2 linked regions of the Arabidopsis thaliana genome follow. The protein of the gene in region 2 interacts with the protein of the main gene of each other region in a pairwise test. Each region holds a gene or a part of one and is shown on either strand. Other genes may lie near its edges. The genes, in order: FYPP3 and PIN4.

Evidence for each region.
Region 1: the proteins of PIN4 (region 2) and FYPP3 interact in a protein complementation assay, tested with the Arabidopsis thaliana proteins (one study listed by BioGRID).

The regions. Positions count from the first base shown.
Region 1 is NC_003074.8:6,959,815-6,965,822, forward strand, and holds FYPP3 (flower-specific, phytochrome-associated protein phosphatase 3), read left to right. Parts: upstream 1-1,921; 5' UTR 1,922-2,193; coding exon 2,194-2,274; intron 2,275-2,560; coding exon 2,561-2,707; intron 2,708-2,794; coding exon 2,795-2,862; intron 2,863-3,103; coding exon 3,104-3,161; intron 3,162-3,649; coding exon 3,650-3,760; intron 3,761-3,843; coding exon 3,844-3,894; intron 3,895-3,999; coding exon 4,000-4,143; intron 4,144-4,233; coding exon 4,234-4,329; intron 4,330-4,422; coding exon 4,423-4,494; intron 4,495-4,863; coding exon 4,864-4,947; 3' UTR 4,948-5,392; downstream 5,393-6,008. Other genes in the region: AT3G19970 (alpha/beta-Hydrolases superfamily protein), read left to right, coding at 1-566, 655-760, 932-1,122, 1,283-1,553; AT3G19990 (E3 ubiquitin-protein ligase), read left to right, coding at 5,782-6,008. UniProt on the Arabidopsis thaliana protein: Catalytic subunit of protein phosphatase 6 (PP6). Dephosphorylates phosphorylated phytochromes, with a preference toward Pfr forms.
Region 2 is NC_003071.7:179,469-185,754, forward strand, and holds PIN4 (Auxin efflux carrier family protein), read right to left. Parts: upstream 4,297-6,286; 5' UTR 3,732-4,296; coding exon 2,537-3,731; intron 2,380-2,536; coding exon 2,112-2,379; intron 1,973-2,111; coding exon 1,887-1,972; coding exon of another isoform or gene 1,876-1,886; exon of another isoform or gene 1,510-1,875; coding exon 1,352-1,509; intron 1,258-1,351; coding exon 1,181-1,257; intron 1,077-1,180; coding exon 1,010-1,076; 3' UTR 565-1,009; downstream 1-564. UniProt on the Arabidopsis thaliana protein: Acts as a component of the auxin efflux carrier. Plays a role in generating a sink for auxin into columella cells. Maintains the endogenous auxin gradient, which is essential for correct root patterning.

The sequences.
Region 1 (6,008 bases), on a different chromosome or scaffold from region 2:
AGGTCCTTGTGGGTTTCTCAAGTCTCGGCCTCCAAGCTTGCAGATTTATCTTTTGTGTCGAGGATTTGTGTTCCTGTACCAAATGTTGATCTCCTAGCTTCTAATCCTAGCTGTAGTCTCGCTACTTCTGTTACTTCTCTGTCCGCTCTTCGTAGTGTTTATCAGTCTGCAGAGTTGGCTAAAGCATCGAAACCGGTTGCATTCACAATCGGTGCCTCACTTGTGGTTCCTGATATTTCCTACAGATGGCATTTACCTGAGCCTAGTGCAGTCGATATGTCTGGTTCTTCGAGTTGTGTGTCTGAAAAGAATAGAACTGTTGTGGTTTTGCTTGGATGGCTTGGATCAAAGCAGAAGCATCTGAAGAAATATGCTGATTGGTACACTTCAAAGGGTTACCATGTCATTACATTTACTCTTCCGATGAATGAGATTATGAGTTATCAAGTTGGAGGGAAAGCAGAGAAGAACATCGAGTCGCTGGTTAATCACTTGGCTGATTGGTTGGATGAAGAGCAAAAGAAAAATCTCGTCTTTCACACCTTCAGCAACACCGGGTGGTTAACGTGAGTTTAATATCTCTGTTTTTTTCATGTGCTTACATAGTTACATGGCGGTTTTACATTTTACTAAGCGAGTTTCTCATCTATGCAGATATGGAGCCATTTTGGAAAAGTTTCAGAAGCAAGATTCATCATTGATGGGAAGAGTTAAAGGTTGCATAGTGGACTCAGCTCCTGTTGCTGCTGCAGATCCTACGGTAAGCGATGATTCTTGCATTCATAGCCATGTTTATATGGTCATTTGGCTTGTGCTAAATCATAGGCTTGGATACCTGATTTGCTAGACGCTGATGGGTGCTATTCTTTTTATAGATTTCTGCACTATTCGCTTGAACTTTCTGGATACTAATTTGGCTTTGTTAAAACAGGTATGGGCATCAGGTTTCTCAGCTGCGTTCTTGAAGAAAAGCAGTGTAGCCACTAAAGGATCTGCGAGCTCATCATATGAGTCAAACGGTATAAACATCTCCCAGCCTAAACCCGCTGCAACAGAAACAGCTTTGCTTTTGGTTCTTGAAAAGTTCTTTGCGGTGATTCTAAATCTTCCCAAAGTAAACAGGTAACATACAATAAAACTCCGCGTTTCGTCACTCATTCTTTTACCCAAATCCTATGATTTCACACTAACAAATGCGGGCAATCATATCTCTTCACTCATTCTTGTCACCCATATCCTATGATTTCACACTAACAAATGCGTGCAATCATATTTTTAACAGGAGACTTGCCGATGTTCTTGACACATTATCAACAGCACAACCAAGTTGTCCACAGTTATACATTTACAGCTCTGCAGACAGAGTTATACCGGTGGAACAAGTTGAATCATTCATTGTAGAGCAGAGGAAAGCAGGACATGAGGTCCGTGCTTGCAACTTCATATCTTCACCTCATGTAGACCATTTCCGGAGTAACCCAGAACTGTATACAGCTGAGCTCAACCATTTCATGAACAACTTTGTCCTTTCTTGCTGCCACCATTCTTCATAGCGACTTCCACAAGTGTTGTTGTTGCTAACCATTTTTGGGGTCCTTTTAACTCTTATACAAGAAAGAGAAAAATAGTTACTGATTGATGATTCTTTTTGGTTTGGATTGGTTTATAGATTCAAATTCATTATTCCTTTGTAAATTGTTGGATATTGTACATTTAGGAGAATGAAGATTCAAGAAAGTGACGTCCTTGTCCTTTGTAGTGGAGATTTGGATCTTATGGTTGTCTTTTGTTATTTGTTCAAAGAGGGTTGTTAAGAACCCAATCATAAAGTTTTTGGCAATTCTCATAATTTTTAGAAGTATGAGGGATCACAATCGTATTTCTTATGAGACGCTGGTTCGTCAACGATTGCGTTTTGACAAACGCAAAAGTTTGATTTGCGTTGGAAGCGGCAGAGATCGATCTGGGATCTTTTTTTCTTTTTGCCGTATGTGTCATTTTGTGAAACTCGAACCTCTCATTCTCTCTTTCATCTCCTCCTCTTACGTAACCCTAACGAAGTCGAAGATTCTCTGGTAGATCTATCTCGATTCGATTCGATTCCTCTTTTTTCCCAGAAAAGTCGCTATTGAAATCGAACGAAAGTGTTGAAGATTTTACCAGTCAGAGGTATATATATATAGAGAGAGAGTTATGGATTTGGATCAATGGATTTCCAAGGTTAAAGATGGTCAGCATCTCTCCGAAGACGAGCTTCAGCTTCTCTGCGAATACGTACGCCTTCTTCTTCTTCTTCTTCTTACTTGATTTCTTCTCTTGGTCGATTAAGCTTCTTGTGCTCTTCTCTGCTTGGTTTGATCTGTATTTATATACCTTAGTGGAACGTGACTTCGATCTGGTCTGTAGTGATTTTAGGATTTTTCTTTCTTTTCAACTATGGAGGCATCAATTTTGTAGTTTAGATACCATTTTATGGTCTCCTTTCTCAGCGATTGATTTATAGATTTGCGAAGATGAATCATGGTGTTAACCAGAAGATGTTTATCATAATGTTATACAGGTGAAAGAGATTCTGATTGAGGAGTCAAACGTACAGCCTGTAAACAGTCCAGTCACCGTATGTGGTGATATCCATGGCCAGTTTCATGATCTTATGAAGCTTTTTCAGACCGGAGGTCATGTTCCCGACACCAATTACATTTTTATGGTACCGAGTTTTCTTTTGTGGTGTCTTGTATGACATATTGATATGAAATTATGAATACAATCATAATCTGGTGTGGGAAATTCGCAGGGGGACTTCGTGGATAGAGGTTACAACAGCCTTGAAGTCTTCACTATTCTTTTACTTCTTAAAGCTAGGTAAGGTGCTCATAAATGTTCTGGAGATTCCTGTTATCATTGAATCTTTGCCTTTAAGTTTTTTTTTGTTCGTGCTTAATACGAACTTATTGTTTATTAAGCAATTAATCTTGATAATTATTTATCTTTCTTTGGAAGAAATAGTCCCAGTAACGTATTGCATTCAAAATTAGTCCAAACGAGAATGATATTGTTTCTTTAGCATCTCATGTTTCTCTGTTCTTTGTATTCTAATATGTAGATATCCAGCCAATATTACACTTTTGCGCGGAAATCATGAAAGTAGGCAGCTAACGCAGGTATGTGTTATTCTGTTCCACTTATATCTATTATTCTGCTTTTCACGCTGTTCCTAGGAGGTAAGCAATGTTGATTATCTTCTCGTTGTTACAGCAGGGTTTTGAAAGTTCTGATTTTGTACTACATGTGGCAATGTCATGTCAGATGTAGACATCGATGTTAGCTAAGATGCATTTTATGTGAATCAAGTATTGGAAAGCTAATTTCAGAAGGTGCTTCATATAGTACCAGTCTCCTTTTTAGCATGTGTGTAATCCTTAGTGTTCTAGTTGATACATAGGTTTTTAAGGAAGAAAGTGTGGTGATAATTTTGTATTTGAATGCATTCCTGGCAAACCTTTACTAAGACTTAGTCTGCAATCATACCTCTTAAAGTGCAATTCAAATATGCATTTCGTGAATCTGCTGACTAGATGATCAAAATTATACATGGATTCTCGACATTGAACTCCTTTATAACACAGAACCATTTGATTTACTTTTTTAGGTGTATGGTTTCTATGACGAATGCCAGAGGAAGTATGGTAACGCTAATGCGTGGCGATATTGCACAGATGTTTTTGACTATCTTACCCTGTCAGCTATTATAGATGGCACAGTAAGTGATTTCTTAGCAACTTGGCATTGTTGATGAGAACACATATAGCTGTATGTTATACTAAAATAGTTTGCTTTGTCTAGGTTCTATGTGTTCACGGTGGCCTTTCCCCGGATGTCCGGACAATTGATCAGGTTAAACTCTGCTTTTATTGCTTGTGGCTTTCACCCGTCAATTATGCTTCTAGCTTGGCATGTTATTAAGGTCCTCCACTCACATAGATTTGCTGTGGGCTCTAGATAAGACTGATCGAGCGAAATTGCGAAATTCCTCATGAAGGGCCCTTTTGCGATCTTATGTGGAGTGATCCTGAAGATATTGAAACATGGGCGGTTAGTCCACGTGGAGCTGGTTGGCTTTTCGGATCCAGGGTTACCACTGAGGTATGTTTACTTTCTCAAAAGCTTGAATTGATACTGTAACTAAGAAATTAATTTCACATCTCTGATCTTTGGTTCTGGCTTCTTGTGCAGTTTAACCATATCAACAAGCTGGATCTAGTATGCCGCGCGCACCAACTTGTACAAGAAGGTCTTAAGTACATGTTCCAAGATAAAGGCCTTGTAACTGTGAGTGTCCTGCTTCTAATGAATTGATATTTTTTATTAGTGGGCGTTTTGAAACTCTGCTTAGTGATTGTTAATTTTGTTTTGTTTGTGAAGGTATGGTCTGCACCTAATTACTGTTACCGCTGTGGGAATGTCGCTTCTATATTGAGTTTCAATGACAACATGGTGAGCCTCTCTTAGTCTTTCCTAAATGAATACTCTAATCTTCTCTGTCAGCAAGAAGGGATTCTATTACTTCAGTGATTTTAATCATTTCTTTTAAGATTCTACTCTATCAAAATATGTACACTCTTGTTGATTTGCTATGTGCCTCTTTGAATTAATGGATCTAGGAAGATTATAGAAAGTAATTTAGAGAATTTAAATCAAGTAAGCCATGTGCAATGAGGTTTGAATATCTGTGTGAGCCATAGATTCTGTTTCTGCATTTGTAGTGGATTTTCATTGACCATAGATTCAAGCTGTCTGTGCTACTAGGATCCTCCTTCCTGCATGGGTTAGTGATGAAATCGATTGAAATGTTTGTATTACCAGGAAAGGGAAGTGAAGTTCTTCACAGAGACAGAAGAGAACAATCAAATGAGAGGGCCAAGGACTGGAGTTCCGTATTTCCTATGAAGAATCACACTTATTATATTTGCTGTGATGATGAAGCCATTGCTGCCATTGGCAATATGTTCAGTTCAATGTGGAAAAGGTTAATATATGATTATATATATTATCTACTGATGGGTTTCGCTTACTATCATTATTTTTGTCCTTTAGGTTACATTTCCCTTGTGAAAGTTACAAGTCAAACACTTTGGTAATAGTCTTAGTCATTTTGATTCTCTGCTCTCTTTTCTTTCCCCCAATCTTTCTTCTGTAATGTTATTTTTTTCATTGTTCACTTGTACTGTTTCCTCTGTTTTTGTTGTTGTTGTTGTGAAGATGACATTAATTCTAAAATAATCAAACATCGTTACAAATGGGACAGTATCGCAACAATAAATGAATACCTGTCGGTCTCGAGCTATTCAATCATTTCATTCGGCTTTTGGTGTGTTGCCTTTCAGATCTATGATACAGATTGTTGTCTCAAGTAATGGAGAGAGGGGTAGTCCTTACAATAAAAAAAAAAAGTTATTATATGCAGTCATGAATGTGGTAAAAAGAATTGCAATTTTTAGTTTGTAATTTTCAGTTAATTAATCTTCACTATATAACTACACTCCTATGAGTTGCTCAGTGAGTTGCATGCTTGTATGATTTAAAATTAATAGTAACTCTTTTTATTACAAAACAGTGAAACACTATGAGAAGTGGGGGAGTTCAGTTCTTGTTCTGTTTGCCGATGAACATCAATGTTGCTTGGTCATCTAATAGAGGGAAATCATAAAATATTAACCTGGTGGTCCTGGTCAATGGTTTTTTTAAAAGAGTCATTGTTTAAGTCTTTTTTTTTTTTTTTTAATGCTAATAAAAAGGTTTAATCCTCCATGCTGGAGAAGCGATCATCATCAACCGAAAGAGAGTAATAGAGACAAAATGGGTTCATCATCATCTCCATCCCCGAACGACGCCGTACTGGAATCAGCCCGACCTTTTCTCCGAGGAGAGCTTGAAAAGATCGACCCCAAACTCCCGTCGTTAATCGCCGTCCTCAAAAGCGTCGGTGCCGGCGAGTGTTGGCACAAACA
Region 2 (6,286 bases):
ATAAAGACTACGTTTGATAGTCTCGGGACCATTTTTTCTATAAAGGGTGGTCTTTAGATTCATGTGCGGAAGTTCACAGAATTTGAAGTTAACATAAACTTTTTGAGATTTTTTTCTGCTAGAGATCGTGTATTCTTAAAAAAACGGGACCGTAAACATGCATCGTATGATCATAGGATTAATTAATTAGAGATTAGGATTTTGCTTCTGTCGTAAAACAGTGTTTGTTATCAAGGAATATGCTTAAATTAACTGTAATAAAATAAAATTACTGTCTTTTGAAACTTTTGCTTCTGACTGTTCAGACCTGATTTCTATCATTGACAATCAAGACGATTGACCGACATTCGCAGCGGAATTGGCATCCTATCGCTCCTTAGTTTGTTTTTTCCTTTCTTTCCGTATTAGATTTTTTTCTCGTAGTTTTAACACTCGAACTGATTGTTTAGCTAAAAAAGCTCGGGGTAGAAATAATATTTTCTCCTATGTAAGCATAATGGTTCATGAATGGCTCTCTCTAGCGGAGAATCTCTTCCCGATGAATTAATATTAATGGTATTTGTGGAAAAAATAAATCAGTACGAGGGTGTATATATATAGTATAGGACTATTTCAATCCAACTCATAAGCTAGTTTCAGTATAAACCACTTAACTAGAAACTTCAATTAATAAAAAAAGGTGCATATTACATATCTGCTTAGCCAAAATCTACACATAAATTAACAAAAACAGAAAATGAAAAAATAAAGGTAAGGAAGAGAGATTTTTTCTTCTTGGCGTCTAATGAAGACAAGATCCTTAATCCATTCAAGTCTTGTTCACTAAATCCTAAGTACTTTTGTTGTGTTCCACAAATATTGGAACCAAAAACCAAAGGCATATCTTCTTCTTCACCTTCCACTCTTTCCCACGAAAAATAAAGGCTTTGCTTATTTCCTCGTTACCGAGAAATAAATAGCCCAATCTCCGAGGCTCTCTCAAAAGCCAGTTGATACTGAAGGGACCAATTCAAAGGCCAAGAAGAATATAGTAGACCAGAGTTATAGGTAAGGCTATTAACATTCCAAATATGACCCTGCATCCATATTTTTCACCATCATTCACACATTTGTTAATATATTGTAAGTTTGTAACAAAAATAAAAATGTGGCTGTAACATAAAATAAGTTTGGAACTTACCCAGTGCTTAGAATCGTGGGATGCACATTGTACTCTTTTGCAAACACAAACGGAACTATTCCTTGAGGCAACGCAGCCTAATAATTCATGCATTCATCAACATCATCATCGTGATCATGTAATATTTATAATAGACCTAGCTATATCATGTAACGTTATAAATTTGTATACCTGAACGATGGCTATACGGAGAAGGTCGCCGTGTAAGCCAATGGCAATCCCAGCAACAGCCATGATGGCCGGACCGGTTATAAATCTGACCGCCATGGCAAACGTGGCGACAGAGTTCCCACAAGCAATGATTTTGGGTTGAAGTGCCATGAATAAACCTTAAAATTACACCAAAAATAAGCAATTCATTAACTAAAAGGATTTGAGAAAATTGACAGCAAAGAGTTAGGTCATCTACTTGGTGAGACCCAAATAAGTAGACAGAGCCAGTGGGGACTCGGCGTGGGGACCGGACACACCAACATGTCTGGGTCAGAGGGTCAGGATTCTCTCTTTGGGTAAGTGCTTTGTACAGTTTATATGACTTTTACCAATTACAAGCTGGACAACTACGACTAATTAAACACACAGACCCACTTTGCATTAAATGAATCTTTTTTAACAGATAAGATGAGAACAAATTTGAACCCAACTTTAAAGATTAGATCATCATCAAAACAAGTCTAGATTTGCATGAAGCAAGGTTAGTGTTTACCTAAGCTGAACATAGCCATTCCAAGACCAGCATCTGAGAGTATGGAGATGGATTGTTGTAATATTTTGGGCATAGCCACATGCCACCTGCTTCCAAAAACAACCCATACTCATTATTAGTTCCCACTACAATTATTCCATGCATAGATGATTATATTATTTCCTTTTCTTATTATAACATTTATCCATAAAATCTGTAAGTAAGAAAATGATTGGACTCACTGACCGGTAAGCAACAAGAGCCCATATGAGACCGATTAGACTGGAGTACGTGTTTGGGTTTCTGATCAGCTTTCTCCACACCATTATCAATATCAGTCGTGTCATCACACTTGTCGGCGGCATATGTGTTCCGTTGTTGCCGCCGCCATCTCCACCAGCCGCCTCTAGCTCCGCCGTGGAATTAGACCCCATTTTATTCAGCCCTGCTGTAGCTTTCTCTATCTCTCTTTCTCCCTCTCCACTATCAAGACCGCCGATATCATCACCACCACCTGAGAAAACCAAAAATCATGAATACATACAAAAATAATAGTATTCGAATAATAATAAAATTAAACCAACAAACCTCTAGCATATTATTTATGTAAACAATTTTCCGCAATTTTAGCTAAATAATATTTGATGACAAAAAAAAAAAAAAAAAAGAACCTCTAGCATTACTCTTTCGAGGTTGATCAGAGACAACCATCCGAATCTCCTTAGCACCTTGTTCAGATTGTTCCGTTGCCACGTTGTCGCCTGCACCTCCGCCAAACACGTCGGAGACCGGAGAAGCGCTTGAGCTCCAAACAAACATGTGAAGCTCCTTAGCGTCATGGCTCGCTTTGCTATCTTTCTCTTGCAGTTGCTGTTGGTTTTCTTTAGGAATTTTATTCGGTTTAGTTGAAACACCCGTACCGGTTGAAAACTCCGGGTTCGGAGCCGGGTACGAACCGGCCGCCGGAACAGAACTGTTAGTGTTATTGTAAAATCCATATTTAACGGCGTTGTTCTCTTCGAAGTTCGAAGGCCGTGGAGTCGGACCACGAGAAGATTGAACGGAGTACAAATCCGCCGGACCAAAATTCGAAAGCCTCCCGCCGGGAAACCCCATAACAGAGTAAAAATCAGAATGGTTAAAGTTAGAACCTCTCGGAGTCGAACTAAGACTATAGATCTCAGCTCCGGTAAGATTCGAAGGCCGTGGAGTCATCATCAGTGACCGTCTCGATGCGTTTGATTTCCTCACGGTAACATGAAGCTTCCCGTCGTTTCCTATCTCAGCATCCGTCTCAAGAAAATCATGACCGTCGAGAGAAACGACGTCGGATTCAACTTTAAACGAAACAATAGACGCACCAGTCTCCGGGAACTGCTCCATAATAAGAAGCTTAGCGCCACGGTACTCGAAGAGGAAGAGAAGGAGAGTGTACCAAATGATACACTGAAGAACAACGACTTGGACCATTAGAGAACCTGCGTAGGTTCCGTACATGGCGATCAACAGAGGGATCCCCATGACAAGAGTGTTTGGGAGAGTGCTGAGAGAGAAGATTGTGATCATCCACTCCAAGCTACCGTTCTTGGTTAGGTTAGCCCATAGAGCAAGTAAGACGAGCATGATGATTTTTTGAAGCGTGTCGGCGGCGACGAAGCGGAAATTCATGGCGTAAGGATCGTTGGTGGAGATGAAGTGGAAGGAGAGGAGAGGGACGGCGAAGATAGCGACGAAGCGGTTGATGCCGGAGCACTGGTCTGGTGAGAATATCTTCCACCACTGTACGGATCCGTAGGCGAGAATCATAGCTACGTAAAGTGGTACCACGGCGGTGAGGACGGTGTACAAGTCGTGCCACGTAATCATTTTTTCCGGTGGGTTTTGGAGTTTAGTGAGAAGACAGTGGCATTTGAGGGGGAATTAGAAGGAAGAAGAGGGGTAGAATGGGAAGAATAATAAAGAAACCGTTAAGAGAGAAAAGTACAGTAATGATTTACAAGGATTCGGTGAAGAGGACTAATTTATAGAGGTTTTTGAGGCAGTGACAGTGTCATCATCATCATCAGCACACGATTACGTTTTTTAAGTTTGATTAATAATTTGATTTAAAATGGCTTTGTGTGTAGTTGAGTGGGGACACGTGGCAAATCGCATGTGGGGGGAGTTTTCTGGAGGGACGTGGACAGTTTTATGGAATAGTCGTGCTTTTTTGCTACTATCTTATTACGAAAAAGTGGTCTTGTTTTTGCACTTTTTGAAAGTTGCAAAAGGAACTTTGGCGAATACTACGAATTACTGTATCTGTGATCGTTTTTCTTGTAAATGTAATTTGAGTTTTGATTCCAAATAGAATCAAACTATTGTCTACGTACTTGGTACAAGAAGACAGCCACATAAAAATTACAAGAAGAACAAATGTCATTAGTGTTAGGTCCAAGCCACTGTTGGACCGTTGAATTAATTACACACATTTATTCCCTTTTCAAAAATTCTCACTTGCTATGACTAGAATAATATTTTGTTTTTTGTTTTTGTTTTGTTAAACTTGTAAATATCATTAAAAATAAAATTTGAGGTATTACAAAAAAAATATTACTTATAGTTACTTATATTACAAAAAGTATTTACAAGCTCACATCTCGTCATTTTCTCACTCTTAAAATTTTACTCTCCCTTATCTCTAAAACTTCAGCCGCCGCCTGCGTTTAGGGTTACCGGTTCCGGTGGCTTTCTCAGCACCGGAACCGAAGTCTTTTGTTTTGCTCTTATTCTATCTTTTTTCTTTAGACACATCTGAGAGATTTTTTTCCAACGGTTGTGAATCTGAATTTTCAGATCTAGATATTTAAAGTCTAAAACTTTTTCTTTTTAGGTTTTTGCTGTTTGTCTTTTGTCTTTTTCAAGAACAGAGTCAGATCTGGCCGATCCATCCAAGGCAGAAGCGTTTCTATCCAAATTTTCGCCTCAGACTTCTGAAATTCCACCTGAAGATCCCGATCTCGTTCTCTCCTTCATGAGGCTCTCACTCCTTTGGGTCTCTGGATGATGGTTTTATCTCATCGCCCATTCGTGTTTAGGTTGAGTTAAGTGAGGCTTCTAGTCTCAGATCTATCAGTTTATCATTGTTGTTTTAGACTTTGTATATTTCGTTTGAACTCTTGGATTTTGGGTCTGGGAAGTACTTGATCAGATGTGATGTAATTTGTTAGATCGGTTTTTTTCCCCTTTGTTTCATTTAAATATGTTTTTAGTTCCTGGAAGGTCCCATGTACTCTCCGGCTTTTAGAAGAGTGTTTCTCTTGTCAGCTCTTGTACTCAGATCTTCTATCAATGAAATCTATATTTCCAGTGAAAAAAAAAATAGTTATAGATAGATGTTGGTCTGAGACTCTCCGACTCATTAGACCATCCTCATCGAATAATTTTTCATAGATGTATTTCATATAAAATAATATTAAAGGTATAGATGTCTTAAATGTTTTAGGAAGATATAATTTTCATTTTAATGACCCTCATATTTTTTATTTGTTTTACTCTTTTATATTTAAAAATAGCCATCTAAAAACACTCATAAAAATAACCAATGTGGATACTCTTAAATCAGTTTGGACATAACCAACAAAAAGGAAAGAATAAAGAAGTAGGTGGTCGCAAAATCACTAGGATTTGATAGATTCAAGCAGAAACTAAAAGGAGCGAGATTTCTGGGAAATATCAGAGAAGCAGACGAGGTCAAGTCCTATAAATCTGATGGAGAGTAATGTATAGAGGCATCAATTGTACACTAGAAAATCCCTAATATTACTTACTCATCTAGCTCTAAGAAGTAAGAACATCTCAGCGAAATCTTTGTAACTTTATTTCGGTATATAAAAGTCCAGTTTGATTCTTAAAATTGTGATCATGTTTGATTCGATGGAGGACTAGTTATGCGATCTTGCATCCACAATAGAGTAATATTGACCAGAAAGAAATTACAAACAAAGTTACAATAGTATGACATGGAAAAATACCAAATCCAAAGGATCATCAACGTTGGAATGTAAAAATTTTGATTTGTGTAACTCATAGTCATAGGATGTGTTCGAGGAGTGAATAATCTCCCATGCTTAATACTAGTATATATCTGGATGCGAAATTCGCAATTTTTTTATTTTTGTAGCGAAATGGTAAAAAGAGATTCAAAACATTCATCCAGCAATCACTTTAATTAATCCGAATGATTGCAAATGAAAATAGATTCTTTATTGAACACATATGTTTACAAAACAAGAATAGTATTTTTTTCTCATAAGCCTTCCGGAAAAAGTCTACTTCATCATAGAAAAATGAGAAAAATGATCAATGATCATCTATGAGATCAACGATCATAGATGGGATTTGTAACACAACAACACAATAACGGGTTTCATCAATTTTCA